4 linked regions of the Coturnix japonica genome follow. The protein of the gene in region 4 interacts with the protein of the main gene of each other region in a pairwise test. Links are inferred from orthologs where the notes say so. Each region holds a gene or a part of one and is shown on either strand. Other genes may lie near its edges.

Region 1 (3,562 bases), about 27 Mb from region 4:
ATAATCAATTTGTTATTATACACGGTCTTTGCAATATTTATCTTATAGTTACTATGCATACTTCCAGCTAGATCATGCTTTGATGGAAAAAACACTCAGATATCTTTGGAAACAAAAGAATCTTCTCCAGCAGTAAACACTAAAAAGTTATTTCAAAGCCTCAAATTGTCCTTACCTATAATTTCCTTGCAAGGATTTTCAGGTGTGATGGGAATCCTGCAAGCTGGACACTGATTATTGTTCTTCAACCAGACTTCAATACAAATGGAACAGAAGACATGGTTGTTGACACAGATTACTGGGTGCCGGACCTTTGAGCATCAACAAGGAGGAAAAGACGGGGAAAAGAAAAACAAACAAAAAACAAACAAAAAAAAGAACAGAAAGATGCTATGAATACTTAGAAACACTTTCAGATAATAGAATACAAATATATACTACCCCAATCTCTCAAAGCAAGTCTAGACTTCAGGAGGAAAGTGACACTGCTGTTCCTGACTAGGAGTGGTCTCCTGACTTACAGCACCAAATTTCCCTATTATTGGAGGTAGTACAGCTACAACTATCTTTGCAAAACTAGAGATCCTCAGTTCTGTGTGCTCATTGATATACAGTGTGAAAGCCATCTTGAAGAAGAGCAGCCAACCACATCAATGAAATGAATTCACATTCCTACACAGGGGAAGACTAAAACACGTACATTCACTCATTTCCAAAAGAAAGGGAATGAGAGAGAGCTCCTAGCAACAATCAAGACTTGGTCTTGAGAGCTATCACTGAAATGATCAACATCATAAATCATCTCTTGTGTCATTAGTGATAGGACCAGAAGGAATGGTTTCAAGCTATGGAAGGGGAGATTCAGGCTGGACATTAGGAGGTATTACTTCTCAGAAAGGGTGGTCAGGCACTGGAATGGACTGCCCAGGGAGATGGTGGAGTCACCAACCCTGGGGGTGTTCAAGGAAAGACTGGATATTGTGTTGAGGGACATGGTTTAGTGGGAGCTATTAGTAATAGGTGAACGGTTGGACTGGATGATCTTTTAGGTCTTTTCCAACCTTGGTGATTCTACGATTCTATCTCTAGCCTGCATATAACCTGCTTTATGGAAATAAACTTTTAAAAACAATATTGGGCAAAAATATAGACCAGAAATATGAACCAATAATCATTCATGAAGCCTTCTGCAAGATATGTATTGCTACCAGTCATTAGAACAGAATGGGACAGCTTAAATATCAGACATAGTTCCTTTCAAGAAACATCCCCCCTCCCCACCAAAACAACAGAGTAAACAAACTTTTGCATTATTCTTCCATGTTATCTGGGGCCAGATGGAATTCACCTGAGGTGCTGAGGGAGGTGGCAGAGGTAATTGCTAAGCTACTTTCCACTCTCAGTGGTTCTGGTCAAGAAGGGAAGTCTCAGATGACTGGAGACTCATGAATGTGATGCCTATCACTAAGATTTGTAAGGAGAATCTGTGGAACTATAGGCCTATCAGCCAGACCTAGGCATCAAGGAAAGTTACGAAACAGACCATCTTGAATGCAATCACACAGCCGGTCATGGTCAACCAGAAGGAGATCAGGCTCAGCCAGCATGAGTTTACAAACGGTAGTTTCTGGTTTACCAATCTCACCTACTTTTATGACCAGGTGACCTACCAGGTGGATGAGGGAAAGGCTGTTGATGTGGTCTACCTAGACTCCATTAAAGCCTTCAACACTGTCTTCCATGGTATTCCCCTGGAGAAGCCGGCAGCCCACGGCTTGGACAGGTACATTCTCTGTTGGGTAAAAAAATCTGCCTGGATGTCTAGGCCAAGAGAACGGCAGCAAATGGAGTTAAATCCAACTACTGACCATTCACGAGTGGTGTTCCCCAGGGGTTGATATTAAGGCCTATCCTGTTTAATACCTTTATTGATGATTTGGATGCAGAAAATTGAGTGCACTACAAATGACAACAAGCTCATGGAATGTGTTCATCTGTCTGAGGGTAGGAAAGCCCACGGAGGGACTCAGATAGGCTAGATTGATGAGCTGAGGCCAATGGGATGAATTCAACAGTATTAAGTGTCAGGTCCTGAACTACAAGCTTGGGGTGGTGTGGCTGAAAAGCTGTATAGTGGAAAAGAATCTGAGGATGTTGGTTGAAGCTCATCTGAACATGAGCCATCAGTGTGCTCAGGTGGTCAAGAAAGCCAACAGCATCCTGGTCTGTATCAGAAACGGTGCAACCAGCAGGAGCATGGAGATGACTGTCCCCTGTACTCAGCTCTGGTAAGGTTGTGCCTCGTACTGTGTTCAGTTTGGGGACCCTCACTACAAGGAAGATATCAAGACCCTGGTCCATAAAAGGGCAACAAAGCTGGGTCTGGAGAACAAGTCTTATGAGATGCAGCTGGGGAGAGGAACTGGGATTGTTTAGACTGGAGGAGACTCGTGGAACACTTTATTGCTCTCTACAGCTACCTGAAAGGAGAGTGTGGAGAGGTGGGCATCGGCCTCTTCTCCCATGTAACTAGTGATAGGATGAGAGGGCACGGCCTCAAGCTACACCAGGGAAGTTTCAGATTAGATATTAAAAATAATTTATACTCCAAAAGCATTTAGTTAAAGCATTGGAACAGGTTGCCCAGGGAAGTGTTGGAATAACCATCACTGGAGATGCTTAAGAAAACAGTACATGTAGAACTCAGAGACATGGTTTAGTAGGCAGTATCGGTGGTAGGTAGACAGCTGGACTGAATCTTAGAGGTCTTTTCCAACCTTAATGATTCTATGATTAACTATAAATCCAGTTTGAAAATAAGTATGGGACAGAGAGACTAACTACAATATAGAAGAAAATGACTTTTCCTTATACCCATACCTCACAGAGGCATGTGTTACAACTTACAGTAATATAAACTCTCAAATCTTACAATACTTGACATTCATGTCTATATTAAGGTTCTATAAAAGAAATATTTGCTATTCCTTCATCACTATATTTGCCCAGTAAACATCTTCTGATACTCAGAGGTAGCAGCACCTACTACTCATATACAACGGATGTGAATTAAGAGCCATGTCTGCCAGCTCCTTCTCCAATTTGCTTTCTGTGCCTCTAACACACTATAGGATTATTGGTAGTTTGAAAACTTCTGATAAGACCACCTAGGAACCTCAGGACTGTCTATACACAAGCAGAAAGTCAAGTTACTGAAGGTGTGAATAGAAAGACTAAATGATTTCTGCAAGCATCTGTACATTTTCACCTCTAATTAAGGAGGCTTTTTTATGTGATTAATGCAAGCATTAGCATAGCAATGCTTTGTAAACATCTGAATATTTCAATAATATAGATACATAAAAATACACCCTTGTTATTTACTGCTTTCTTTACCAGAAAAAAAGCTTTCTGCAGTTTTCCACCAGCAGCTGAAAGAAAAAAAATATGTATTTATTCTGGTAGCTCTTCTTTTTCATCCAGAAGCAGCCATTATATGAGCATTGTTACACGAATGGCTCTGATATGCAGAAGAAAACATACAGTAGCCCAAACAGAAGAA
Region 2 (3,562 bases), on a different chromosome or scaffold from region 4:
TCTGGCTCTTACGCATATCACAAGTTTTCACAATAAATACAGCTTCAAAAGTTGTCTTAAAAAGTTCCCGCGACACCGAAACGGTTCTAGAAGGGGCTGTTGTGTACGACTGGCAACATTCTCAAGGAGCATTTCTCAACAGGTCTTTGCATACAAAACACAAGGAAAGTCATATCTGAAAGTCTTCATCCCTCCCTCCCCTCACCCCCCTCCCAACCCCATCATGAAAGTTTAGAAATCTTTGCACAAACAGCAAGAGAACTGATTGTAGCTGCAGTATGTCAAAACGTCCACATTCTATAAAGACCAAAAATAGTTTGTCTGCTCAGAAAGTCTGATTATTATTAATTCTTTTCCTTTACCCTTTTCACATAGCACAAGTGAAAGTCTGCCCGTCCCACTGTTGTTCGGCTTTGGTTTCAGCACCACAACGCTGCCAGTCCTTCGCATTCCCCAGCCTGACGGGCGCTTCACACCTTCACCGTTTCCATCAGCGATGACTTGATGGCATCCTCCAAAAGCTGATTGTCTGTGAAAGGGGCTGGGGTTTCAGGGACGGATTCAGATAAACCAATGAGAGACTCCAAGAAACAGGAGCCCTGATCTCCAGCTTGCGGGAAACCGGGGAAATTAGGCAACTGAAACTGTAACGCTGAGAAGTTATCAAGGTTCTCGTACTCCTTCAAGGAGTTGTAAAGGGGTCCCAAGTTATAGTCTGAGAAAGACTGGAAGAAATCCAAGGAGTCAGAGGAAAGGCTGAGGTCGGCATAGCTCTTGGAACACGACTCAGCCAGGGCTGGGGCGCAGCATGACACCCCATCACAGCGCGAGTGCATGGCCTCCTCCAGCAGCCCACCACTGTCCTGGTTGGCATTCTCGTCCAGGCACTCAGAGAGGTGGGATGAGGCCCCAGGGCCAGGCTTGGCCTCACAGCCATGGTCCTCAATAAAGAAGTCGGCGGGGTGGAAACAGCTCAGGTTGTCCTGGCAGTGGTCTCCCTCCTCCTCGGCATCTGAATCGTTGAAGTGGAGGATGCGTGCCAAGCCATCATCATCAACGTCCGACTGGGACTTGTCAGAGGGGAGGCTCTCGTAGGGTTCCTCCAGGTCCTCGCTGGGGTGGGAGGAGATAGAGGAGTCCGTCATGTCACTGCTACAGCTGTTCTCCCCCAGGGCTTCCAACTCAGGGCTGAACTGGAAGGTGGGGGCCAGCGGTGCCGTGCGTTCCTCCAAGGGCCCCTTTGCCGCTGCGCAGCCCAGCTGAGGCAACCGCTCCCGGAAGGGAGGTTCAACCTCTGCCACCCCTTCACTGCTCTGGTGCTGCTTCTCCAGTTCCAGCTTCATGATGGTGTGGATGAAGTGGGTCTGCACCCGGGCCTGGTTGAACTCAATCCTGCCTTCCGTGTTGCCGCAGCCGTCCTTGGTACAGCCACAGGGGAAGGAAGTGTGGTCCATCTAGGGGGAAAAGGACACAGGGGTAAGGACCCTCACCCGAAGCCCAAACCACCTCAATTCACCCCCAGAAGCTCACACATCACCTTGCAGCATTGGGTGAGGGGTTTAAAAGCAAGCCAAAAAATACAAGTTACCAAAAAACCCCTCACAACCTGCTTTTTGGAAGAGTTGTCTTAAAAAAGGTGAATTTCAGTACAACTGAATAAAGTCAAAGGGTTAAAAAAAAAAAAAAAAAAAACAACCACAAAAAAAGCAAAATGTAATACGCCAAAAGTAGGCAAATGTGAATTTTTGTGTATTGCACCATGATATTTAATATCTGATCTATATCACAAGCTTCTGCCTCTCTGCGGGATAAAGGACAAACTGCTCCACTGGTATCTGCGGCACTTTTACGTCCCAGCTGTGAGCAGCCACTAGAGGGGGGCTGTGACATGCACATGGAGCATGAGTCCTCCTGAGCACATCCATCTGCTTGTGAACATCCAACTGCACACACACACACACCCCCTACACCACCCAGCCTGCAACCACAGCACAGAGCAAGTGAGCAGCTCCCTCAGTAGTGAATGCTCCCCCCAAACACAGCAGGGCAGCCACCTCAGAAAACATAAAGTAAAAAAAGAAGTGAATAAAGGTAACTAAGTGCAGCTACAGAGGTTACCCTGTGATATGCAGGTGGGCCTGGAGAGCTGACACTGATGCTCCCACGTGTGCTGGGAGTTGGGATACACACCAAGAGGGAGAATAAAAATAAAACCAAGGGAGGAGGAGAAATTGGAGCCTTGTGGGAGGAGCAAAGAGCTTCTCTTTGCCAAGACATCCCACACAGTCCGTCTCCTTCTGCCATTCACCCTGTGGGTGCACCTGCACGTCCCCATGGGATGAGCGATTTGGGAGGAGGATGCTTTCCAGCAGCATCTCCAAGAGCTTTTCCCACTTCACCTTGAGGAGATGCATGAGACAGGGCAGTACCTGGCACTTAATGCCTGCCAAGCTGCAGCTGCAGGTCTCGGGATCGCAGACCTCCTGACAGTCACAGCCACAGTCCTCCCGGGACAGGCGGATGCTGTGCAGCTCCCGCTTCTCCTCCTTGTCAATCTTCTTCACCCCAACAGCTTTGAGCAGCGCACGCCTCTTCTTGGCTGGGTAGGGCTGGAGGAAGAAGCCATCCTCCAGGTCCACGTTGCTGATGTCGATGTCATCGTCGGAGATGTCTTCAATAGTGAGCTGGTTGGCTTCCTCTGATTCCTTTGTGCCATTCATGGTGAGCTGAGGGCAAAAGATAGGCAAGGTGTTACAAAGCTGTCAGGGACACCAAGCTGTGACCGTCAACACCTCAAGTCAGGACAAATCACAGAATCATACAGATTGGAAAAGACCACTAAGGTCATCTAGTCCAACCCCAACTCATCCCCACCATGCCCACCAACCACGTCCCTCAGTGCCATATCTCCATGTTTCCTGAACAACTTCAGGGATGGTGACTCCACCACCTCCCTGGGCAGCCTGTTCCAATAAATGAATCATAGAATAATCCAAGTTGGAAGGGACCCATAAGGATCATCAAGTCCAACTCCTGGCTCCACAGAGGACCACCCAAACATCAGACCATACTTCTGAGAGCACTGTCCAGACAATTCCTGACTTGCCCCAGTGGTGGCCACCTCCATAACCAATATCTGTCTCAGAGCCTCCAGAAAGAACCCTGAGAGCCCATAGACCATGGGGTGCACAGCATCTCACTCAGGTCCCACATTAACACCTGGTGAACACCTGCTAGGGGAGCTGAGCATCACTTCTTTCAAGGCAGAGAACTGACCAATGTTTCTCAGAGACCCACAGAAGGTTCTGAATCAATGCCCCAAGGACTTGGAAAGACCAACACAAAGAAAAGACCTTCATAAGAAAAGACACCCCCAATCCAGCCACTTACTTTCCATTTCAAAGCTTCCAACTTCTCCTCTTTCAATTTCTCTTCCAGTTTCTCCCGACGAACGTTTTCTTGCTCCTTGGAAAACTCTGCTAATGTGAACTGTCGGGATGAGCTGTGTTTGCTCACCATCCCCAGCGTGCAGCCCCCACGGCTCGGCACGCTCGTGAAGCCC
Region 3 (4,176 bases), on a different chromosome or scaffold from region 4:
AAATAGGAAACGAGACTGAGATTTCTGCTATATTCTTACATCCTCTCCATTCTCCTACTTGGGTTCTATTTAAATCTCACCTACAAGAATGTCGAGCAGCTGCATGTTTACTACTAATTCAATTCTGACCTCTCACATGCATTTATTTCCCTCCATTCTAGGTTGTTCACTATTCTTTCCAGCCTTATTGCAATATTAGATGGCCCTCATTTATATTGTACAGCTCCCTGCAGCACTGTGCCCTGCAAGGTCATGCCTCCCACTTGCACTCAAATCCATCTCTCACCATAGCATAACTCCTTTCTACTCAAGGCTTTAGAGTACAGCTTCAGAAGATACACAAACCTGACACAGTCTGTGAGGTTAATCTTTCATACCCTGCTTAAATCACATTTTCTCAAATTATTCCTCCAAAATTCCAGCTAAGTGAAAGATGATTGTCAACAGGGGCTGCACGTGGATCACGGAGAGAAGTCCAGACTCCTTAAGAAGGCTAAAAAACTAATTCCTACTTGGTCCCTAAAAGTCAAGCAACAAGTATAAGCTACTTGCATCCATTAGTTCTACAGTGCTTTTCTGTCTACACATGTAGGTAAGGGGAAAAAAAGGATATGGGAGAAAGACAGCAGGATTTCAGAGAAGCCATGAACACAGCTTTGGGTAAAAGAGCAATGGAAAAAATGCGAGCATTCTGTCCAGATTTCAAGTAACATTCTATCAAACAGCCATTCCACAGTAACCAGCCAAAATCCAGCCAATAAAACATTTTTCCTGTCTTTCAGAAGAGCCTTGAAGCATAACTATGTCCAAACTGACAGCTACATATCTGCAGTTTAGTTTTGCTGTGATTTAAGAGCAATTATGAACTTTCTTTAATAAGAAAACGGCAACTTTATTTCATCTGTTTTATCTACAGTGTTTCTAACGCATTTAAAAATTATGGGAAAGTGGAAAGGTTGGAAGAAAGGCCCCTCAGCTCATAGTGCTGTCACAGGGTGCTGTGTCTGACCGCTTCTCACCTAGTGGAATTTTAGAACTGGGAAGTGCAGACATTTAACAGCTTCAGGTTACATTACTTTTCAGTTCTGGCGGACGCTTTAAGCTTCCCACTTCCTTCTTCAGGACACTAAGCAAAGTTCTGGAACTATCCAAAATCTTCATGTAAGCAGCTTCAGTTTCAGCAAGAATTTTATCGAGCTCGTTCCGCGAAGCTACCTTCTGAGCCAGGTTTTCACACACCCCCTCCAACTGTTCATTGAGGGTTTGAATTTCATGCTGGAGTCTGCTTTTCTCCTCTTCTGCTTGCTGGATCTGTTTGTTCAGCTCCTCTTTTTGCATACACAAGTCTTCAATACACTTAACGAGCTCATTGTTGTAACCCTGAAGAACAGCTCCCTGCTGGGTCATCCTCTGCTCCTGTCTGTCCGTGAGCTTCCTGAGGTGTCCTCTCAGCTGCAGCCTTCTGCACGTTAACACAAAAACAAGAACAGAGAGAAAAACTATAGTTATAGTGTGATGCTATGTTTAAACACAGCATTGTGGGGAAAGATGTACTGCTACAGGCCAGTTCTGAGGGGGGCTTGTCACTTCCCTTTTCATTAAGGAGGCAGGACAAGATTCAGGCTCTGTATCATTGCATGGTTTGGGGCCCTTCAAGGCTATCAGTCCCAACACCATGCCGTGGGCAGAGCACCCACCCAGCAGCTCATGCTGCCCGTGGGCCCATCCAACCCAGCAGGGCTGGATCACTCCCAGCTCCTCAGGGCAGCGCTGCCCGTCCCGCTCACCCGCTCCCTCCACGCGTGAGGCGGCCCGAGCTCCGCCATCGCCTCAGGGGGAGCTGAGAGGGAAGGAGGGACGCGGCCCGGCCAGCCGCTTCCCCAGGGACATTTTAACAACCACTCCCTACCGAGCGCCTCTCGCCGAACCCAACGTACACAAAATGGCTCCTGCCTATACATCAAGGCGCCGGGCGGAAGGGGAGGGGGGAGGTGAGTGAGGGGAGACCTTCCCTTTCCTATCCCCCCCGCACCACCTCGGCTCCTTTCGCGGTCCCCCCCCATCGCCCCCACCTGCCTGCCGCTGCCGCCCCCGCTCGCTCCCCTCGGCCAATCGGCCGCGCCCCGCCAACGGCCGCGCAGGTCACGGAAATAGCCGAACGGTTCCGAAGGCGGCGTCACCCCGACGAGAGCGTGAAAGCCTCTCTACGGAAATAACCGATGTTTTCCGAAGACAGGTAGCGTTCGGGAGTGGAGGACGAGGCGGGCCGGCCGGAGGGGGGGGGAGAGCTACGGAACGAGCCGATGTTTGCCGAAGGGAGAGACTGAAGGGCGTTGGGCTCGGCGGAGACTGCCGATGTTTGCCGAAGGCAGAGTCGCCCGAGAGCAAAGGGGACAGAGGGGACGGAGCGCGTCGGAAAGAGCCGAAAAGAGCCGACGTTAACCGAGCGCGGCGTCGCCCGAGTTTCCCGGATGTAGTTGGAGGAGCGGCGACGGCGGCGGCGGGCGCAGCGGGGGGAGGAGGCGGCAGCGGCGGCAGCGACGGAGTCCGCGCTCCCGGAGCGCCTCAGCGGGGCCGAGCTGCCGGCGTCTCCCCTCAGGCTGCGCGCGGCGGAGATGGGCCCGTGAGCGCCGCTCCCAGCACAGCTGCCGAGCCGCCCCCTCCCTCCCTGCCCCCTCCCTGCCCCCGGTCGGCGGCGAGGCGGAGCGCCGCTCCCCTCCTCCCCCCTCGGCGCCCGTAGGCCCGGCCGCGGCCGTCCCTTCCTGGTCCCCTCACACTCACACACACAGGCCGGGCATTGATGGTAATGTATGCGAGGAAACAGCAGAGACTCAGTGATGGGTAAATCCCCTCCTCGGCCCCGCGGCTCTCCCCCCGCCTCCGCCATGTTTGGGCCCCTTCCCGGCGCCCGGTAACGGCCCTCACTAACGCCTCTCTCTCTCTTTCTCTCGCCTTCTCCGCAGCTGTCACGACCGCAGGGGGGACTCGCAGCCCTACCAGGTACCGCCGCGCCGGCCGCCGGGCCCGGGAGGAGGAGGAGCAGGGCAGGGAAGGTGGGGGGGGAGCTACTCCAGCCCAGGCTTCGGCCGCCGCCGCAGGCCGCGCTGCCCCGCGCGGCTCCCGCCCGGCCCGCGGTGCCTTGTAAGGCCCGAGAGGTGGGGAAGGGAACAGGCTCCGGCCCGCAGCCGGGGGAACGGAGCCGCCGCGCCGCTGCGATGGCCGGGCCGGTAGGAGAGGCCTAGCGCGGGGCCGGGGCCTAGCAGACGGGAGGTGCGAGCACAGGGGCGGGAGAGCGCGGCCGGGTCACGGGCGGAGGAGCCGAGAGCCGGGGGAAGGGGAACGTTGTCCTCCTAAAAACAAAAGGCGGCTTGTTCGCCCCCCGCCCCCCTCCCCGAGGCCCTTCTCCCCAAAACTGCTGCTGCGGGCTGTAACCTGAGCAGGGCATGATTTTAGACCCTGAACTGGGGTTGTCAGTAGGGCTTCGTCTCCACAGTTGCCAGTCTCTACAGTTGCCAGCTGCTGGGGGTGTTCAAAAACATCAGATCCTCTGGCTTTTGACAGTAACTTCAATTTAAGTATGATGAGTCCCGTAGTCTAATGCCTATGAGAAATACGAAAGAATAAAAATAAGAAAAATAAAATTATACCTTAAGGAGGGTGTGAGTCTGGGGAACGCTGTGTGTAGGGATACTGCTCTTCTTAGGGCATTTAACTAAACCATTTTATTACATTTCTGAGTGTTTCTATCACTGTGAAGTGTCATCTGATGGTCCGAGGCAGCTGTCAGTGACAGTTCATGTAATATAAAACACTTGCCACTCATGAGCTCGCTCTGCAAAATCAAGCAGATCAAAAAGAGACATAACTTGTTAGTTTTGGTAAATGTTCCAAAATGAATTGTCACATTATGTTCTGCCCTCTTAAATACCCCCCCAAATTCTAGATTTTTATTGTATCTGTTATGGGCTTGCTAGTACTGAAGTCTATCTGCAGAAGCTTAACGTTGATGCAAAAGGAAGTGGCCTCCATTACAGTATGGATATTTACAGTTCACTCTGTTTCAATATAACTGTCTCTTTATTTCTTTAGTACCAGCTGCACTTGTGCTTGTTTTGAGTGTCAGAGGTTTTGTGCCCCACTTACCGTTTAAAGTATGCAGTCCTTCACTGAGAAAAT
Region 4 (4,213 bases):
TCTTACTCAGCAGAACTGTGTGAAAGGAAAAAAAGTCATCAAAACACATGACAAGACCAGAATTGAAATCTGTAATTAACATCTTCAGCGGAGTGGGATATTCATTATCTGCAAGTAGAAACACAAGAAACAACCAGCAGGGAAACAACCAAGTAAAAGTAATAAGTATGCCTTCATCAATGACAAATGAGAAGAAGGGTTTCTGAAGAGAAAGCATTGTACACACAGCACGGCACTGCTTTGCTGTGTGTACCCAGTTTTCAAAAGACCTTAAAATACTTCAAGCTGAAAAGTGATACATACCCATAACCATAAAGTATTCCACTACCTAGACAATCACAGATTTCATCTCAGCTTCCATATTAAAAGGCAGTGTGATGAGAAACTAAAAATGCTGTTTTTGCACTGCTGCTCTGTAAGACAAGTGGCAATTGGATTTTAATCACCAAGGCTGATGTTGAGAACAAGCACAAACCCAGTACATTTTAAAACTTCTGGCTTCCTTCAAAGGTTGAGGCAGAGTGTTTAACACAGGGAATCCTGCAGAGCATTTCATATTAAGTCAGTATGTCAAGGAACATTTCTAGAATCCAGATACAAGTAAATACTCTGAGTCTACTGCATGTTTTCCATGTTCTTAGAGGGAGAAACAAAGAATTACTGATGCAGTGGCAACACTGGAGGGTATTTTCTAGCCAAAGTTCACATTGAACCTAAGCAGAGTAAGCCTTTCTTTCTTTCTTACTCACACATTCGTTGAACACTGATGTTTCTGCTGTGTAACAGGGCTTTGATGTTTTGCAGCATAATGGCAAAACCAAAAATCTACAGCCTATGTTCTTCTCCCAGGTACATGAATACTTTCTTTGGTTGTTTTGTAGATGGAATTCTGTAAGCTTGTTCTAATCTAGGGAACAGTCAGACACCCTGCATGCCGCCAAGGGGTTGTTGTTTTTTCTGCTGTCAGATATGCAAAAGCACTGATTGAAGCAAGTTATTCAGCAAATAGGAAAACAGAAGTCTAAAACAACTGCTGGTAGTCTACAAATATCCATTATTAGTTATGAAGCTTACACAATGAAACTTACTCACCTCTCTGGAGCATGGCACAACAGTGAGGTGGTGGAGTTGGCTGCAGTTTTAAATGGGAAAATGTTTTACCACTTGAGGGGGCTGTAGTACAGCAAACCCATGCAGCCTTGTGTAATAGTGCACAATGAGAAAGCCCAGCCTTGGGGATAAAACGATTTCCCTATGGCCTTTAGGAAATTTTACATTTTTAAGATACCTATTTGCATAATATTTGGCAAAATAAACCCTCAAAAAACAAACAAACAAACAACAACAACAACAACAAAACACCCTGTAGGCCCAAAGGTGCCTGGTCACAGACTGGAGGGAAGGTTTTAATCCCTCATCCAGTCTTTGTGCCATACACTGTTTTTTCATCCGACATTTAAAACATTTGGAATTTTACCACTACCCCACTTGATTTAATGCTATTTGGCAAATGCTGCTGAACAAACAGTCAGCAGTTTTCTGCTGTCTTCCTTGTTCCAAGAAGTAACACAAGGCATTTCCATTCTGCTTAATTTCAGCAAAGTATGGGAACATCCATCTGAATTCTAAGTGAAGATAGAAACTGGTTTGCATTTTCAATTAGGCTCTGTAATACTGTGCTGCTGAGGTACTTTCTTGCCAAATCATTACCATCTCTCACACTTGACCACATGGCATAATGAGTCACTGCATGTACAAGAATTAGCAATGGTGATCAATAAAAATCTAGTAAGTCAGTTTGCTTTTAAGGAGAAAACAAACAAACAAACAAAAAAATAAATAAAACAGACTACCTCAGGTTTGAAATACAGTCATCCCAAAACATTGTACTGAATCCAAAGGTTTTAAAAATGAAAATCACTGCATGGGGGAAAAACAAACAAACAAACCAGTGTGAGAGATTTTCTGCTAACTAATCATAGAATGATAGAATGGCCTGGGTTGAAAAGGACCACAATGGTCATGTAGTTTCAACCCCCCTGCTATGTGAAGGGTCATCAACCACCAGACCAGGCTGCCCAGAGCCACATCCAGCCTGGCCTTGAATGCCTCCAGGGATGGGGCATCCACAACCGCCTTGGGAAACCTGTTCCAGTGCATCACCACCCTCTGTGTGAAAAACTTCCTCCTCAGATCTAACCCAAATCTCCACTGTCTCATTTTTAAAACTAAGAAGCTAACCCTTGGGGAAAAAAACCTGCCCTCTCCAAAATCATTTGGGGTAAGTGCCTTGCTCCAGCCATACACCTTCACAGATTCAAAACCATAGTCCACTTTTCCTTAGTGCAGAAAACTTCCACTGATAAACCAAGACAGAGTAAAAATGCATCCAAGTCCATTTCCCCTCTTCCTGTCACCTGTCACACACTGACTGACGCCTCTTCTTCCCCCAACCGGGCCCGCCCAGCACCCATCCCGCGGTGCTCGGACACTGCGCCAGGCCCCACCGCCTCCCTCGGCCTCACCCTCGAGCAATATCGGTTAAGAGAAAGCTGTGTCGCTGGGGAATATGCAGCAATACGGACCCGTACCCCGTTACCTCCGCGCTGGGCCTCAATGCGGCGCAACCCTCCCCACCTCCCAGGCCGCGCTGCGCTCCGCCATGTCTGCGAGCGGGCCGGGTAGGGGGGGGGGGCAGCGCGGCCTGGTGCCGGCGGGACCCGGGGGGAGCAATGCCACGGCCTTTTATTCTTTCGCATGCATTGTACGCAGAGTATTCACAGTGATTCTGGGAAAGATGTGTATTTCTGGCAAACTTACGGGCGTATGATAGGGTTTATTCGCAATTACGGTGAAAATCCGTATGATTTTTACGTAAATGAGCTTGGTTTTATTCACTGATGAGGCCTATGCTGCCCTCTACTGACAAGAAAGGCTCCTGCCTCTTACCAAGGACGATTCCCAGGCAGAAACAGCCCTTTTGGTAAATACGTGAGTGACGTAATGCTTTTACAGTGGTCAACCTCGTTCCGTGTATTATACACAACTGGTTACGCAGTTGAAGTCAGGCTTCCTTTTTTGCCTTGTTTTTGTGCAGCAACAAAGTGTGGGACAAGTCTGAAGTTGTACAGAAGAGGAGCTGAAAAACTGGAAGAAGACAGCATGGCTTTTCAGAACTGGCGCAGTCTTCCTTTAGCAGGGAAGACACAAGGAGCATGATTAGCCCTGTGTGAGGAGTCTTCCCAGGAACAGAGATCAGAACAAAGGATGCCACTATTTGAGGGAGGTTCCTTACTCACAGCCTTCTCCATTAAACTATGTTTGGTCTAATTAATCACTGTTCCAGAAAATATAGGGGCTGGAGCATCTCTCTTATGAGGAAAGGCTGAGTGACCTGGGTCTGTTCAGCCTTGAGAATAGACTGAGAGGGGATCTGATCAATGTCTATAAATACCTAAGGTGCGGGAGGCAAAGGGATGAGGCCAGACTCTTATCAGCAATGTGTGGTGATAGGACAAGGGGAAATGGTCACAAACTGAAACATAGGAAGTTACGTACAAATGTGTGTAAGAACTTCACAGTAAGGGTGACAGAGCACTGAACCAGGCTGCTCAGACAGGTTGTGGATTCTCCTCTGGAGATGTTCAAGACCCACCTGGACTCTTACCTGTGCAGCCTGATCTATGGAGCCTGCTTTGGCAGGGGGGTTGGACTAGAAAAGTTCTAGAGGTCTCTTCTAGCCCCTACAATTCTATGATTCTGCAATAATGCTTTTTCAGTTACTCCTAAGTAAACCAAGGGATAAACATGATATACTTGTTATATTCATATACTTGTGTAATGGTATATATACATATCTTTGTGTTTTTGCAGGGTTTTCCAGGATAAAATCAGTGCTACAGTAACAGCTTGCTTTCCTTGAGATTTCAATGTTGGCTGTGCTAAGTATCTACTTCTCTAAAAAGAATAGACTTCTATTAAACAAGATAAGATACTCTGCCAGCTGATAAATTGTTAAATATCCACAGAAATATTTGGGAAAATGTTGGTTAGACAATTGGTGAACAGTTAATCTGTGCCATCAGACAAGAAACTTGCAAGATTGCCACAATGATTACTTTGTTTATTAACTTAGATGTACATTTATGAAAGAGTTTGCAGTTCCTGAGAACAGTGCAATAATAGAATCACAGAACAATGTGTTTCCTTTTAA

The links.
Region 1: the proteins of TCEANC (region 4) and OBI1 interact in binary tests that used the Homo sapiens proteins (3 or more experiments, as listed by UniProt). The two-hybrid records come from large-scale screens. The link is inferred for Coturnix japonica from reciprocal best matches to the Homo sapiens genes TCEANC and OBI1.
Region 2: the proteins of TCEANC (region 4) and CSRNP1 interact in binary tests that used the Homo sapiens proteins (3 or more experiments, as listed by UniProt). The two-hybrid records come from large-scale screens. The link is inferred for Coturnix japonica from reciprocal best matches to the Homo sapiens genes TCEANC and CSRNP1.
Region 3: the proteins of TCEANC (region 4) and Sjoegren syndrome nuclear autoantigen 1 homolog interact in binary tests that used the Homo sapiens proteins (3 or more experiments, as listed by UniProt). The two-hybrid records come from large-scale screens. The link is inferred for Coturnix japonica from reciprocal best matches to the Homo sapiens genes TCEANC and SSNA1.

What each region holds. Positions count from the first base shown.
Region 1 is NC_029516.1:137,629,568-137,633,129, reverse strand, and holds part of OBI1 (ORC ubiquitin ligase 1), read right to left. Parts: intron 312-3,562; coding exon 176-311; intron 1-175. UniProt on the Homo sapiens protein: E3 ubiquitin ligase essential for DNA replication origin activation during S phase.
Region 2 is NC_029517.1:4,631,014-4,634,575, reverse strand, and holds part of CSRNP1 (cysteine/serine-rich nuclear protein 1), read right to left. Parts: coding exon 3,391-3,562; intron 2,727-3,390; coding exon 2,430-2,726; intron 1,455-2,429; coding exon 471-1,454; 3' UTR 1-470. UniProt on the Homo sapiens protein: Binds to the consensus sequence 5'-AGAGTG-3' and has transcriptional activator activity. May have a tumor-suppressor function. May play a role in apoptosis.
Region 3 is NC_029517.1:13,930,527-13,934,702, reverse strand, and holds the start of Sjoegren syndrome nuclear autoantigen 1 homolog, read right to left. Parts: upstream 2,848-4,176; 5' UTR 2,842-2,847; coding exon of another isoform or gene 2,801-2,841; 5' UTR 2,799-2,800; coding exon 2,782-2,798; exon of another isoform or gene 2,686-2,781; intron 2,237-2,685; coding exon of another isoform or gene 2,220-2,236; exon of another isoform or gene 2,077-2,219; intron 2,055-2,076; exon of another isoform or gene 1,910-2,054; intron 1,878-1,909; exon of another isoform or gene 1,788-1,877; intron 1,463-1,787; coding exon 1,063-1,462; 3' UTR 1,020-1,062; exon of another isoform or gene 849-1,019; intron 1-848. Other genes in the region: WAC (WW domain-containing adapter protein with coiled-coil), read left to right, coding at 2,801-2,841, 2,964-3,000. UniProt on the Homo sapiens protein: Microtubule-binding protein which stabilizes dynamic microtubules by slowing growth and shrinkage at both plus and minus ends and serves as a sensor of microtubule damage, protecting microtubules from the microtubule-severing enzyme SPAST.
Region 4 is NC_029516.1:110,838,902-110,843,114, forward strand, and holds the start of TCEANC (transcription elongation factor A N-terminal and central domain-containing protein), read right to left. Parts: upstream 2,840-4,213; 5' UTR 2,821-2,839; exon of another isoform or gene 2,726-2,820; intron 2,709-2,725; exon of another isoform or gene 2,586-2,708; intron 2,066-2,585; exon of another isoform or gene 1,093-2,065; intron 16-1,092; 5' UTR 1-15.